Linked DNA regions of Styela clava. The protein of the gene in region 2 purifies or fractionates together with the protein of the main gene of each other region. This does not show direct contact. Links are inferred from orthologs where the notes say so. Each region holds a gene or a part of one and is shown on either strand. Other genes may lie near its edges.

Region 1 (7,991 bases), on a different chromosome or scaffold from region 2:
GGACCAATTATTATTACACAACGGCGAACGCCGAAGTTTTATATTGCTGGGAGAACTATTCGTTAATATCGGCGACATATGTTAAAGACAGCTCATAAGGAGTGAATTCGGGATTTTATTCCGATTTTTATCTTTTGCGCCGGCTTTGATCTTTCTCCCCACGGTTTGTAAATTGCATGTCCCAATTTTAAGCTAACAATATTACCCTTTCTGACGCCTGAATGCGGATATTTATTAAGAAGATAGTTGACCTTCGCATAATTTGACTTGTACAGTTGTACTGTTTTATTTTCGTATTGAATAGTGAATAAAAAACCGACAAAGTCATTGCGTGAATTTTGAATGTTATTTTCAGTTCAAACAATGAATCAATAAATCGGCAATAATGGCAATTCTAGTAGTCAAATAATAATTCCATAGTGAAATTTGGGAAAAATTTCGCACAATAATTTGTTATTTTGTTTGGCATTTTCAATTTTACGAAACGGTGTGGGCGCGCTTTATGCAAAACTTGGAATTGAAACAATATCCAAATACGACTCGTCAAATATGTCGTTTCTGTTTGTTAGCATAAATCGTGGCGTAAATTCGAAGGATTTGAAATTGGAATTTCTTAAAATAAATTCAGAAATAAAATCTCTGCGTGGCACACCAAAATCATTTCGCGGCACACTAATGTGCCGCGGCACGGTGGTTGGAAACCACTGATCTATACAATACCTGATTTCACAACAATTCTAATAAGTCTCTATATTACGTATTTCAGTTGCAGGTGATATTATGTGGAGTGATAACAGAACCTTGGCATTTGATCCTCGAGGAAGCACCGAGGGGTATAAGTTGGGGGCTGACCTGGGTTGTGATGTGCTCGTACACTGCTAAAATTTCTCCGCTCGGATTAGAGGCTTCAACAATGGGGATCACACAAGCTACGTTGTGGGGAATAGGTGAGGATGAAATTATTTTGTTTTGGTGTTTATTAAGTCACAGTTAAATTTAGTTTAATTTTGTCATGAAGTCAGTTCTCAATACTTCCTAAATCAGGTTTGTTTTATTTTAAACAGTGATTATTTAGGTTTTTTACTTCATTTACTACACCTGTACGGACCATCAAAGTATATATGGTATCGATATATTCAGTTTGCTGCAATAATAAGTGAATTTAGCGTTGGTTTGAATTGAAAAAGTCAAGTCCGACAATCCCAACTACATATTCCTGGGGGTACTCCCGTAGTATGTGTACCAGGTTAGGGTTAGGCCATAATTTTATTTTGATTTTCCTTATTTTAGTTCTATTACGAGTTCGGGGACTGTCTGTGTTAGCCAAGTGAATAGGCTTCCGTCCCTTCACACAACTTGATGTAAATTAGGCGAACAAAATTAGTTACCTCCATATTGGTACACTCACTTCTGGAGCGCCCTCATGGGTAATCGATGTGGCTAATTGGAGCATTTCTTTCACGAAAAAGGCGCATATGGTATTTGTTATCAATCAATCGATGCAGCATGCCTTGAAATGATTTATATTCAAGTTATGTGCGATAACTAATTTCAAATTACTTCTAAGATATATCAATATTCTGAAAAAAATAAAATTAAAAAATAAAAAAAATAAAAAAATATCAATATTCTGATTCATCGAAACACCATTTTCAGCTTATTGTATCTTCACGAGTTCAACGCTTTTTTGCTAATCTATTATTGCAGGTTACGGCGTGGGTGCTTTACTTGGAGGAATTTTCTTTCAAACGTTCGGGGGAGATAAAATGTTCTTGTTATTTGGTGCCATGAGTTTGTGTGTTTCAGTATTATTCGGAATATTTTCTTTTTGTACACGTAACAAAGACGATTCTGATGTCATAAACAAGGAAGATAGCAGTTTAAATGAAGGTATGACCTGCAGTGTGACGAAATGTATTTTTTTTGCCATTTCTAGTTCTAATTAGGTTATATAGCTTCCACGTAACTTCTAGCAGGGGGGTAGACTCGGGGTCCCTATTTTAAAATAGGATAAAGCATTTTTCTGTATAATACATAGCAATTTTTCTTAGCGTGGAACGCTTTTAGACCCTCGAGACTCTTGAAAACTCACTTGGATCCGTTAGCTGTTATGGTCTGACTTTGCAATTAGAAATTTCAGAACCCCCCTCTTCATTCGAAAATTTCCGGCTACGCCGATGTCTCCTAGTTTCTGAATTTTCTGAATTTCATATTGAAATATATGATATGTGTCGTCAGATCTGTAGCTTTTGGTCTTTTAGGGTATGACATCGCAAAAGACTTGTTCGCAGTTATGTGCGTATGAAAATATTCTTAAAAGTAGGTCACCTTACTCATTATAATATTTCTTTTATAATTTTTCATATCGAAGAAAAAGAAACTCTGAAAAATAATGAAGAAGATGTTGAAGAGAAGACGCACGTTTAATTATACTCAGGGGATGAACGTTGAAACACAAATTTTAACGAAGACGAGATATGAAAGAATTGATCAGAAACTAGCCTAGTTGTCAAGAATCAAAAATGACCTTGAATGACCCTTTGTTCTGTATCACGGTCGTACCCAGGTGGAGTTGCGGGTCGTACCCCCCTTTCTTTCTGAAATGTGAAAAAAGCATTTTTTTCTATCATACATAGTGCTTTTTCTTAGCTTGTAACGCCTTTTGGACACTCAAGACCCGGATCCGCTAGATGTTACGGTCTGACTTCGCATTTAGAATTTTCAGACCCCCCTCCCCCTTCTTTTGTAAATTCCTTGCTACGCCCCTATTCTGTTTATGTATTACTAACAGACTTGTGAGTGGCTTATACATTGCAACCAGTGGTGGGATTCAGCCGGTTTGAACCGGTTCTACAGAACCGTCTCACGAAGTTTTATGAGATCAGCGAACAGGTTAGCATTGCTGGTTACTGTCAATGACTTGTTGTAACAGAACCGGGTGAAAATATGACTTCTGTGATGGAACCGGCTGACAAAAAAATTGAATCTCACCACTGATTGCAACATGTACTAATACATGCAGATCTTCGATCAACCGATTCTTACTGCGACATGTACTAATACATGCAGATCTTCGATCAACCGATTCTTACTTCAAATTGTTTATATATATAAAACGGTCTTTGTAACGTAACTTTGTTGTTCACTGCTGATATGCAAATGTGTTCAACTGTTCGTTTTGCTTGTACAGTAGGCTACTTAGTGGCATATATTATGCTTTATTTTTTTCTGGAGTTTTGTGATCATGAACTGTGAATAGAAAAATTCATGTCTATATTCGTTGGTTTCTGATTAACGTAATATTTGTAACGACCACATCGTCTTTGATTTATATAACCTTGTGAGATCTTTTCTATCACTGTTTTAGTTTTTTTTTAGCAAAACTGCTGTGAAGTATCTTAATGCAAATATATATTGCACTGTGATACATTTTGGGGGTTGTAGTGACTTATTGGCCAGGAAGACTCTCTTGGAAATGTAGTTAAGAAGGCGCTCCAGAAGTATGTGTACCAATATGGTGGTAACTAATTTTGTTCGCCTACTTTACATCAAGTTGTGTAAACTGTAAAAGGAATGAAACCTATGGGCTAAAATAGACAGTCCCCGAAATCTCAATAAAACTAAAACAAGAGAGCTATGCTCAAATATATGGACACGTAGCGCCACCCAATGGCAATAATTTTGATGAAGTCATAGCGAAAAAAAAGTAATAGCCTTCTGGAGAAAATTTTTATCTTTAACTGAAAATTTCAAAGCAATTGGTCCAGTATTCGAAGAGAAAAGCGATTTTTTAAAAATGATGGAGACAAATAACAATTACAACATAATATTGAAACGATCGTTATGTCCACTAAACGTGTCCTATAAGGAAAATCAGAATGAAATTATGGCCTAACTTGGTACACACACTGTGGGAGTACCGTTTAGAAACCTTGAAAAAACTTTCATTGTGAGAAAAATCTTCGTCACGAGTATTGCTGGTTTGCGCTTTAGTGAGGGGGTCGTTCGGGTGGGTGTTGTTTGGCTCCAAAACAACAGAAAAGCGGCGGCAAGTTTGGCAACAATTAGCGTATATTCATAGCTTTCCAAATGTAACAGCATCAGGCAATATGTACAAACCTTTCAAAATTCGTTTCTGCTCTCGGATCAGTAAGTTAGGCGATTCAGTAAGTGCCACAAAAGTCGCAGGTGAGCTAATGATGAATCCATTTCTGAACCGCTGTTTTTATTATTCTCTCAAATAACATGCCGCATCTGACGTAATACTACTTTTCTAATTCTCTCGTTTTCTCGGCATCGAAATCAAGTCTTCTAATTTCGCTCGTTACATGAGTAGCGAGGTTTTCTTTCTCTAAAATGTCTGTTTATCATAAATTTGGCAACGACAGAACGAGGAAAGTGATCTCATCTTAAACTTGAGTGGGCAGACTTTATTGTGATTCATATATTTTTACAGCGAGTTTAGCTTTTTGCCCGCTCACTGTAGTAAACTGGTTAGCATGTGAAGTCTGAAAGTAGAATTCCAGAAGACAGGAAGATGGGATTGTCTGGCTGTTGGATAGGATATGATAAGATTTTCATATTTATCCCGAGAAGAGGAAAGTCGATAAGACAGCCTATTAATGTGATGAACTACAACCTCTCGTCCGGTTACCAGTCCATGCCGTGTACCGTATCGTATGACCTGGTACAGTGGTATGATATTAGTTAGCCAGTTATTTGTTTCAGATGCGTGGACTTTATACCGGTAATGGAGTAACCCATACCTGCATACGGTACCGTACGGTACCTTACAGACATAAGCAGGTTCTGAGTTCAGCAGTTTAAAACAGTTCAACCAATACAGTACCGTATGTGTCTTTCTCTCACTTTTTTATAATTACTGAATTGTTTGGATCATTGAATTTTTAAGATTCATTTCAAAAGGCAAACTGGCTGATTCTTAAGGATTGTCTTTTGTACAGTTATGAGGTCCAGTGTAGTTTCGTACCTCAAGTACTTCTAGTGGGCGTAACTTTGGTAACAATTTTTGCATATGTCAAACCTAGCCCACCCGACTGCGTCATCCGAAAATTATGTCACTACGACGTTACAGTGATGTAATAAGGCCCTTCAAACTATACAAACTGTCATCTAAGGTGTGCAGACGATCACCCAAACTGAGAATGCTATTCATCTCGTTTCCTCAGTGTAATGATCTTGATATGAGAGAGATCGCTGCTGTTAATGAGTCCTTTATCGTCAGCGCAGATTGGGCGATTGTTGGTATACTTATTGTCTCTGAGGCGAGAGTGTCTGGCGCGTTGGCAGATGCAACAGGATGTGCTCTGCTTGTCTTGATAATATCTCGGTTTAAATGTGTTAGTTTTCAGCTTTTATAATTACCGTACTAACACTGTCTGAACCATTCTCTATTTTGTGCTTGTCTTTAGGACATATTAGTTATTATTACTTTTGTAATGTCACTAAGGCTGCTTTGATTTTCAACTCTTTGATTATTTGCTTTAGTGTAATAAAATTATAAAAACGAACCTATTTTTCAGAAATTATTTTAAACTCAATAATTTGACTCCAATCACCACAGCAAAATGCCACAGAACGAGCATATTGAGCTTCATCGGAAGCGACATGGTTATCGTCTCGACTATCATGAAAGAAAACGAAAGAAAGAAGGGAGGGAAGCTCACACACGAGCGATTAAAGCAAAGAAACTGATTGGACTGAAAGCGAAGATGTACAACAAACAGAGACGCAATGAAAAAATAATGATGAAAAAGACGATCAAAATGCATGAAAAACGGGACACCAAGCAGAAAGATGATGAAAAGACACCAGAGGGAGCTATTCCTGCTTATCTGCTCGACAGAGAGAGCCAAAGTCGTGGAAAAGTCTTATCTAACATGATTAAGCAAAAACGTAAAGAAAAAGCGGGAAAATGGTCTGTTCCGCTCCCGAAAGTACGAGCACAAAGCGAAGCGGAAGTCTTCAGAACAATTACAACAGGGAAAAGAAAGAAAAAAGCATGGAAACGAATGTGCACAAAAGTTTGTTATGTTCCTGATAACTTTACAAGAAAACCGCCGAAATACGAAAGATTCATCAGACCAATGGCGCTTAGGTTCAAAAAAGCACATGTCACTCATCCTGAGCTGAAGGCTACATTTTGTTTACCAGTCATCGGAGTAAAAAAGAATCCGTCATCTGCTATGTACACATCTCTTGGAGTAATCACAAAAGGAACAGTCATAGAAGTTAATGTGAGCGAACTGGGATTGGTAACACAAGGGGGGAAAGTAATCTGGGGAAAATACGCCCAGGTTACAAATAATCCTGAAAACGATGGCTGCATAAACGCAGTATTACTGGTCTAGATATTGTCGTAGAGAAAAAAAAATTATCCTTGGTGTGGTATGTGGGATAATCATCAAATAAAATCATACTCCAGTACGACCCAGAAGACCCAGTCAAACCCAGAAGTCTTTTTTCAGGTAGGTCATTTAAGTAGCAGTTGGGACCAATTATCCAGTCTTTATACTGACTCTTCAATTTTGCTGGCAGATATTTTGTTTTTTGATCAAAACTTTTAGACAGCAAAAAGTGTAGAGACATATTTTGGGTGATTACTGTTAATCTTATTCTGTTGCTGGGATTTCTGCGTATTCTCCTCTCTCTGCTATATTTTGATCTGTTTTGTTGTTTCATTTACCTTGTTCTACAATCAGTGGTATATTATTTTTGAATGCGTATATTCTCGCATATAAGCCGATCGTACATACAAATCGACCCCCCCCCCCCCCCCCCCCCCCCTAAAAGGTGAATTTATAAAAATTCACATATAAGCTGACCCTACATATCATAACACGCTGTAGTTCCTCCTGCGACAGCAAATTTGAGTTGCAGCTGTTGGAATTAAGTTAGCATAATGTGAATTCGTTTGAGTGCATGTATAGGAGTTATGCGCTATGAACCGACATCTTAGTTTGGCAAATATTTTGTTTTTTGAGTTTCGAACTCAGCCTATATGCGAGGGTATTCGCCAAGTTTATTCACAGTATTTTTGAACTCAAATTGAATTATTTTCTGTTACCATTCTGCCAAAAGTTTGTGAGATATTTCAAAACTCAATACTTTTTTGACTGACTTGTTGCCTTAACATTATCAACTGCAATCTGCTTTCATTTAAATTAGATTGTAGATACTTGCTATAGCTATAAATAACCATGGCTCACATTGACGATATGCGGACTAGAGTCACCATGGGGGAACATGGAGTATTAAATGTCCACACAACTGATTTCCCAGGGAGTTACGTCGGCTACGATGACGCATGGAGCCGCGAAAAGTTCATGAAAAACTTTCGGATTAATATTTTGAAATGTGACGAAGATGAAATGACTTTTGATATGATTGGGATTGACGCTGCCATAGCGAATGCATTTCGAAGGATTCTCCTGGCTGAAGTCCCAACGATGGCGTTCGAGAAAGCGTTTATTTACAACAACACCAGTATAATACAGGATGAAGTGCTTGCTCATAGGTAATTCATGAATTTTTAATGACTTTGAATTAAAAAGGGATTTTTCACATTTATCAATGAGAAGAGGAAAGTTGATAAAATTATTTTAACCACTACCTTGAGTTCAGAAGTACAATTTATGTTTAATTTTTCTAGCCATTTAAACTCGATTTCACACAAATTACAAGATAAAGAGAAAGTACACCTACCTAGGTACTTGTCATAACCATGATCAGGGGCGCAGCCAGGGGGGAGGTTACATGGGTCGTAACCCCCCCTTTGGAATCTTTTTTTTTTTTTAATAGTGTTACGTTTACTTGCAATAATTTTATTCTTTGCGTTATCACTTTCGCCCAGCGTCCTAATTTATTATTTATGTTTACGATTCGTATTCGCTGTTACGCGGCAGTGGATCTAGTTGCCAGCGGGGGGTCACGGAAGTGACAATCTACACTAAACATTTTTAGATACAATT
Region 2 (7,877 bases):
ATCAACATTGAAGACGGGATGTATACACAAGACCATACTTAAGTAAAACTTAGGTAAGTAAGTACTTAATAAGTAAAAAATAATGAGCCTCGTGACAAAACTCAATTGGATCGCGATCTCAACAAATTCCTTGAGCTATTTCGAAATTTGGTTTTAGTTTGGTTGTGGCAGCATCAGGCGGCCCTATTGAATTACCCAACGGGCCGGATTTGGCCCGCGGGCTGTACTTTGCTCATGTCTGGTCTAGACTATAGTCTAGCATATGCAGAACCGGAATCCGTCCTATTCAATTCTGTTGAGACATGTTCATTGTATTGCCGATAATTTTATTCTTCTATTCAATTATTTTGAAAGTGTTTTTCAGATGTATTCAGTATTGTCAAGATGTTTCGAAGCAATTTTAATTATTGTATTGTATGTTGCCGATAATTTTATTGTGCCATTCACTAACATTGAAATTATATTTCACTTGAATAAGACAATATATAGAAATTAGCGGAAATTTGATACAAATGGCGGTAAACCTTTCAATTTTTTTTCAATTAAAATAACGCTAGATGCAAACGTATGTTTTACAATTCGTTCTCCTCATTTCATTATTGAATATGTTATCTATCGAACACGTAACGAAGCTGTCTTACCCTGGCCTCCTTTCCGCGAGATAAATATGAAAATATCATCCTATGTAAACCCGAAACGAGTCCACCCCGCTGTCGTAAACCCGAAACGAGTCCATGCATCTGAAATGTGTGCATCGTGCTAAGCGTTAGAACAGCGTTTCCCAGCCTTTCTTGGTCGCGGACTGTTTTCTCACTGGCGAAAACCTTTGCGAACTTAAGGAGCATTTATTGCAACCGTACTCTTTGTGAAGAAGCAATAAAACCGAACATAACATAAAATTCGGAAATTCGCGCATTTACGCGTTCGTTAAAAGAGCCGACTTTTTAGTGTGTAATGGCGGTTTCTGTCGCACAATATTCAGTCCATGACGACGACGAGAATTTAAAATGTCTTTCTATTCTAATTTATTGTGTTCATGGTGGTAACTCGCCGTTGCGTCGACTTACGACAAGATGAAAACATTACTTCTTTAAAATGCCACGGCAATCTGCGAACATAATAATGTGAGAATATATTGCCCGATTATATTTAGTTTTGATACGTAGTTTTTGCGATCTCGCGAATTTGTTATCGCCGTTAGAAAAATTATACTTTCTGCTGTAAAGTTCCAGATAGTACAACTTGATTTAGCACTTAAATTATATTTAAAGTTTATTAGTAAATCAAAAATACATATTCATCACCTTGCTTTACTATTAAGTTAATTGTGATGATTTTAATATGCAATTGTGTTGACGAAATAAAAACAATACTAATCAGAAAATATTAATATGGTAAAGTGCCCGATTATATTTTGTTTTGATTTGTATTTTTGTGAATTCGACAAATCTGAGCTGTTCGTAGGTCGTACAACACTTACGGCGCTCCAGTACTGTATGTACCAATGTGGAGACTAAGGCAAAGAATCCTGAGGTAAATGCCCTGGTACGTATACCACGGTAGCACCCGAAATTTGGCGATTTGCAATGTTCAAAAAAGCGTTTTTAATCGGTCGCGGATAATCATAAAACAAAACTGATGGTGTTATCCGTTTTATTTTTAGTGTTTTGTATTGCCGCTTTTCAATTTAGAAAATTTGCGTTGCCACCATTGACACCTACCAAAAAAGAATGATTCCTCGTTGTTCCAACTCGCGAACTCTATCGAAGCGTGAGCAGACTCGTGTTTACGTTGGAAGGTGTTTTCGTCACCTGGTACTAATAGTTGAATATACTCATTAACCAGTAATTATTGACTCGAAATGTTATGTGAATAAACTTGACATTTATGTTTTATGTAAATTCTAATGTAAATCGTAACTTGTCTGATAGTTAGTTTCGCAAAGACGTTTGCGACCAGCAGTGAATTTCTGGCTCGTTGCGGACTCATTCAAACGCTTCGCGGACTCATTTGAGACCGCGGACTCGGGTTAGGAAACCCTGCGTAAGAAAAACACGCTTCGCCACCGCACCTCTAATTACCCTACGTGGGTTCGCAGGTTCGAATCCACGTAGGGTAATTATGTGCGAGAGGATTAATTGCTGGACTCTCCGCCGCTCTATCGGTTACGATCTCCCCCACCATCAAGTCCATGCTTCCGAGAACAAACATCTGGCCAACTGCTTACATATTCGACATGGACTAGTAACAGGACGATAGGCCATGCTTCGCTCGATCAATCAATCATTTATTTACATTTACATTAACCGGCTTCCTCCACCATCAAGTCCATGCTTCCGAAAACAAATAACTGGCTAACTAATCCCATAGTCGACCTGGACTGGTAACCGGACGAGAGGCCGTGGTTCGTCCTATAATTAAGCCGTCTTATCGGCTTTTTTCTCCCCGGGATAAATATGTAAATCCCCTCCTATCCTACCCTATTTCAGTAGGCTACTCTGACATAAAAACAAAACGGCACAAAAAGTAGACAGACAAACGAAATGTAGAGATACCTAAAAGGCGAGCATCACTTAAAATAAAGTTAAAAAACACTTTAGCTATATTATATGATTTCGTCTTTTTATCGGCTTTCCACTCCATCGGGATAAATGTAGATCCCATGATGAGATCTACATTCCCATCCTAAATTCCACAATGTCACACATGAATAGGTACTGATTACGCAATCGATTCGGCGATCTGTGTTCCGCGTGTTAGGTTTTTAGGCCCGAGTTTCAGGTTTTGCTATGCTATTTCTATATTTTCGAAAACTGGAAATTGAGTGAGCTTAGTGTATCCGAGTGTGAACAGATATAAGTTTTTCATCGTGAACGGGAATCTAAATTCAGCCATTCCTTACTGGCCTATCTGGCTACTTTTCAGCCTTATTAATTGAGACCCACCGAGTGTTTATGTTACACAAGTTTTGTCTTTTTATTTTGAATAGTTGTTTGTGTGCTGTGGGTAAACTGGCGCATGTATATTTACTTGTGTTAAACCTTTATAAAGGTTTCCCCGATTTTCCCAATCTTCTGTGTCAATGTGTGTTCATTGTTTGTGTTTTGTGTATGATTTTTTTTGCGGAAAAATCGAAATATACTTACTGGTATACTTACAGTCTACCGTACTTCTGGCAGTCTGGCCTGAATGCTAAAATGACTTAACGTTACCGGTAGGTACGACTTAGCCCAGTTACCAGTGCCGACGTTTTTTTCGGTCAACAATCTTACCATGGTCAATCTTACCACTGTCTGACTGTACCACGGCCTATTCCTGGAATATAATTTGATGTTGGTTAGTAGCGGCAGTGTGGCTCATCATACAATTCTCTTGTAGTTTTGTACCTAACTCACTTCTAGTGGGCGTAGCATGACCATTTTTTAATATGTCAATCCTAACCCCAATCTGAAATCTGGCCGTCCAAAGCTTACGTCAGTAGACTACAACATCACAAGCACGTCATAGAGCTTGCCAAATATACGTACGATCACCCGAAATAGCATCGTTGCCGACGATAGAGAACTAACGTCATCGAGCTCTCTCATATTGAGATCGTCGCGACGAGAAAACAAGAGAAATAGCTGTTTGATTTCGGGTGCTCGTCTGCGTGCTTTGAATGACAATTCGTATAGTTTGAAGAGCTCTATTCAGCTATTACGTCATAGTGACATAATTTTTGGATTGTGTAGTCATGTCAGCATGTGGGGGTTAGGATCGAAACATGAAAAAATTGTTATGCTACGCCCTCTAGAAGTATGTTAGGTACGAAACAACATGAGACTCCATTATGCTAAGCGTTAGAAATACGCTCGCCAGACCTCTGATTACTCTGCGCGGGTTTGCAGGTTCAAATTCCATGCATGGACGGTTATGTGTGAGAGGATTGCTGGACTCCTCGCCGTCGTTGGGGGTTCACGTAACCGCTGATCGATTAGGGCTTCCTCCACCAGTCCTGAAGTCCATGCTTCTAAAAAACAATTTGTCAAATAACTAACTAATCCCATACCAGACATGGAATGGGAATCGGACACGAGGCCGTGGTTCGCCATATGGTTAGGCCGTCTTATACTTTCCTTCCCCCCGGGATAGGTATGTAAAACCTATTTTAATCCTATTCAATTTGTCACTGCAAAACTACCTACCCGTACGGTATTCTGTTATGTTTTTGCACTTTTTGCCAAGAACGCAAAAACCTTTTACATGTCTTATGATGGTACGGAAAGAGACGCTCATTTCACAGTTTTAGCGTTTAGCCAAATATAGTCTACTCTGCCTTAGGCATATTGTCTCTATGAAGCATGTAATACAATTTCTTTGTTTTTTTCAGCATAAAATTAAAAATGGCTCTGTATAATTTCAAAAAGATCACAGTGGTGCCATCATCGAAAGTAAGTATAGAATATGGGAATAGTTCAGTATGATATTTCAAGAATAACCCTCGCATTGAAAGACATTAATTAATTATAATAGTGAGAGCAAACTCCCTCTTTACATGACAGTATAGGCCTCCATAGCGGCATAAATCGGCAAACCAGTTTTGCGCAATAAACTGAAAGTAAGAGCAATCTAAAAACTTCACCATTGGATTCTTTGGAACACTGGAACTTCTGTTTGTGCATGACACTTTGCACAAAAGTTACGTTCTCTACAGAATAGTTTCTAAATGACATTGGATCATTTTTAGGTTACTCTGTACTCTCAAGCTAAACTCATTCTCAATTTCTTTACTAATCTTTCCTTACTTATTTTCACAGGACTTCATTGACATCACATTATCAAAGACACAGAGAAAAACTCCAACTGTAGTTCATAAAAGTTATCCGATCTCCAGAATACGAGCGTTTTATTTACGGAAAGTTCGATACACTCAACAGAACTACCATGATAGATTGAGTCTGATTCTTACAGAGTTTCCTAAACTTGAGGTATTTTTATTATTATTAATTTTGAATATTGATACAGGGATGGATAAAATTGAGTGATTCATTATTTTAAGACGCTTCGCTCAGAATGATTATTTTTTGATAGAATTATTCAAGCTATGGCACCGTAGTATAAGTACCAGGTTAGGTTCCGATTCTCCTTACGAATTCAGGAAAAATCTGTGTTAGCAAAGTGAATATCCCCTGCCAATAGGTTTCAGTCCCTTCGCACAACTTGATGTGAAGTAGGCGAAAAAAATTAGTTACCTTCATATTAGTACACATACTTTTGGAGCGCCCAAGCTATTCTTAAAATCTAGAATTTAAAATATTGAATATAATTAATTTCAGGATGTTATTCAGAGCAGAATAGAAGTATATTTTGAAACACGCTTCATTTCCAACTAGTATAATTTTTGATTAAATGCTTTGGTTGATCTTTTTAACTGGTTCAACATAACCCAAAATTTGTCAAAAGTTTTTATAGATATCGTATATAATTTTGCGTTAAAAGTTTCGAAAAAAATAACGAATCATCGGCTAAAATATAGACTGTAATTCCAATGTATTATCTGCACCTAAATATAAGGCGCCACTTGCTTCGCTTGTTGTTTGGTATTTGTAAATAAACTTTTTTTTCATAGGTTTTTATTTGTAAATAACATTTTTTTATAGGTCCATGTTGAGTTTTGAGTGTCCTGCCCAGTGACCAAGTCTGTTATCTGTAAATGGTCCACTCAAAAAAGTAATCGCCCGTCTCTGGATTATGGTATTCTCATTTATCATTTTAATACTATCCCATTTAAGCATCCTTGTGGCAACTGCAAAGTTGATACAGACTAAATATTACCTTTATTCATCTCTTAATTTTTTTTTTCAGGATGTCCATCCATTTTATGCAGATCTAATGAACGTTCTCTATGACAAGGACCATTACAAACTTGCTCTCGGACAAATCAACACTGCCAAACATCTTATTGACAAGTAAGAACGTTGGCTCTAAAACTGACATGGACATTGAGGCGCAATTCTTACCACTTCATGGCAGCTCCCGCCAAAACAAACCGCGGCGTTTTTCGCCATGGTTTTATGGCGCTATTACTCTATATTTACTTAAACCTAGCCATACCTCAAATTAATCAAAAACTGTATCCATACGGAAAATGGGGGCTCCCGAAGTATGCGAACCAAGATGGCGGACATCGGAATGTAATATGTGTACTAGGTTAGGGTTAGGCCATAATTTTAGGTATAAATAATACGGGAGGCTCTTGGCTAGTCTTCGAACTGATAATTGGACTAAAATAAGGAAAATTGGAAAAAAATTATCGCCTAACCCTAACCTGTTACCCATGTTACGTTCCGATGTCCGCCATCTTGGTTCGCATACTTCGAGAGCACCGGAAAATGTTCTAACTTACCCAAAGTGTGTCATCATCAGGGGCAGTCCCGCCATTACAGCCTACATCCCTGGGTTCACACAATTTTACCAACCATGGTTTTCAATTTTCTGTTGTGATACACCACCTCACGCCCTTCGTTCGGGGACTGTGGCAGCTAAAAAGTCAGCTGCCCTGGCCTGACCTTAGCGGCCATGGTTTGGAAATCTTGCAATGGTTTTGCGGCATCTTCAGACGCCACAAGGTGCTTAAAACTGCACTTGTGGACACTGGACAAACTCCGGCGGCCCTCGTGTCAAATCCGGCCTGGTGGGTTATTCAATCTGGCCTGCCTGATGCTACCACAACCGAACTAAAACCAAATTTTTATATTGTTTCACTCAAAAATAGTTCACGAAATTTGTTGATATTGCGATTAAATTTAGTTTTGACACGAGGCTTATTGTTTTCTACTTTCGTAACACACAAATATTGTTCATAAAATTAACACAATTTGAATGTATTCGAATATTTGATTCATTTCAAAATAGTTCAAAACTTTGTTTTTTCTTTTTTCGTTTTAGATACCGCCATTGGCCAATTGTTAGGTCAATAATCAATATGACAGTTTTGGCATGTTCAATTATACCTGTATCCTATTTATACATACCAGCATCGGGCCCTTGCAGGTGCTCCACTCTTTTGGCCCTCGAATATCCTTTATACCTTCCAATTTTGGCCCCGATCAGCCAACTTTGGTCCACTGTGCCTACCACATGACACTATTCATACGTAGTTATTAGAGGTAAGATCTGGCCCAAAAATTTCAGCCCGACCCGAACTCGACTAATTAACTGGATTTGCAGGCCCGAGCCCGAAGCAAACCCAAAATTTCATATTTTATTTAGGATTTCATTGAATTGTCATCGCAAGAGTTTTGTAAAGTATGTGTCGTGTTGATGAGGCAACTTCTGTTTTTTGCAGACCACGATTTCTCGTAGCCACAACACGGCCGAAACGCCTCATTTTAAAAAAAAAGTCGGCGATAGAGTAGCCCCACCGAACCCGACCAGAACGTAATGATTGACATTTCAGGCCCAAACCGGCCCTGAATTTCGGGTCAGCTCGGGCTTTAGATCTTAGCTCTGGTATCAATCACTATATTATTCAATATTACAGTGTTGGTCGTGATTACGGTCGACTAATGAAATATGGCGATTCATTATATCGATGCAAACAACTGAAAAGAGCAGCGCTTGGTAGGATGTGCACAATAATGAAACGACAAAAACAAAGTCTGGAATATTTGGAGGAAGTTCGACAACACATGTCTCGTTTACCAAGCATTGATCCAAATACAAGGACTTTACTCATCAGTGGATTTCCAAATGTTGGGAAATCGAGTTTAATTAATAAGGTTTGGTCACTTTATTAATAATGCCCCTCTGCAAAAACTTGTGCAAGAACATTTTTTTTATGTAATTTTCCTAAACTTGCACGCCTGTTAGTCTGAACTAAGACTTGTAAAAGTAGC

Evidence for each region.
Region 1: the proteins of GTP-binding protein 4-like (region 2) and ribosome biogenesis protein NSA2 homolog purify together in Homo sapiens (affinity purification with mass spectrometry; 3 studies listed by BioGRID and IntAct, counting the BioPlex papers as one, with this or other methods). This does not show direct contact. The link is inferred for Styela clava from reciprocal best matches to the Homo sapiens genes GTPBP4 and NSA2.

Annotation. Positions count from the first base shown.
Region 1 is NC_135263.1:3,697,188-3,705,178, reverse strand, and holds ribosome biogenesis protein NSA2 homolog, read left to right. Parts: upstream 1-5,521; 5' UTR 5,522-5,588; coding exon 5,589-6,371; 3' UTR 6,372-7,189; downstream 7,190-7,991. Other genes in the region: uncharacterized protein LOC120341273, read left to right, coding at 767-947, 1,708-1,890, 2,372-2,427; DNA-directed RNA polymerases I and III subunit RPAC1-like, read left to right, coding at 7,221-7,537. UniProt on the Homo sapiens protein: Involved in the biogenesis of the 60S ribosomal subunit. May play a part in the quality control of pre-60S particles.
Region 2 is NC_135252.1:23,061,835-23,069,711, forward strand, and holds the start of GTP-binding protein 4-like, read left to right. Parts: upstream 1-4,361; 5' UTR 4,362-4,382; coding exon 4,383-4,430; intron 4,431-4,796; coding exon 4,797-4,967; intron 4,968-5,844; coding exon 5,845-5,948; intron 5,949-7,522; coding exon 7,523-7,760; intron 7,761-7,877. UniProt on the Homo sapiens protein: Involved in the biogenesis of the 60S ribosomal subunit. Acts as a TP53 repressor, preventing TP53 stabilization and cell cycle arrest.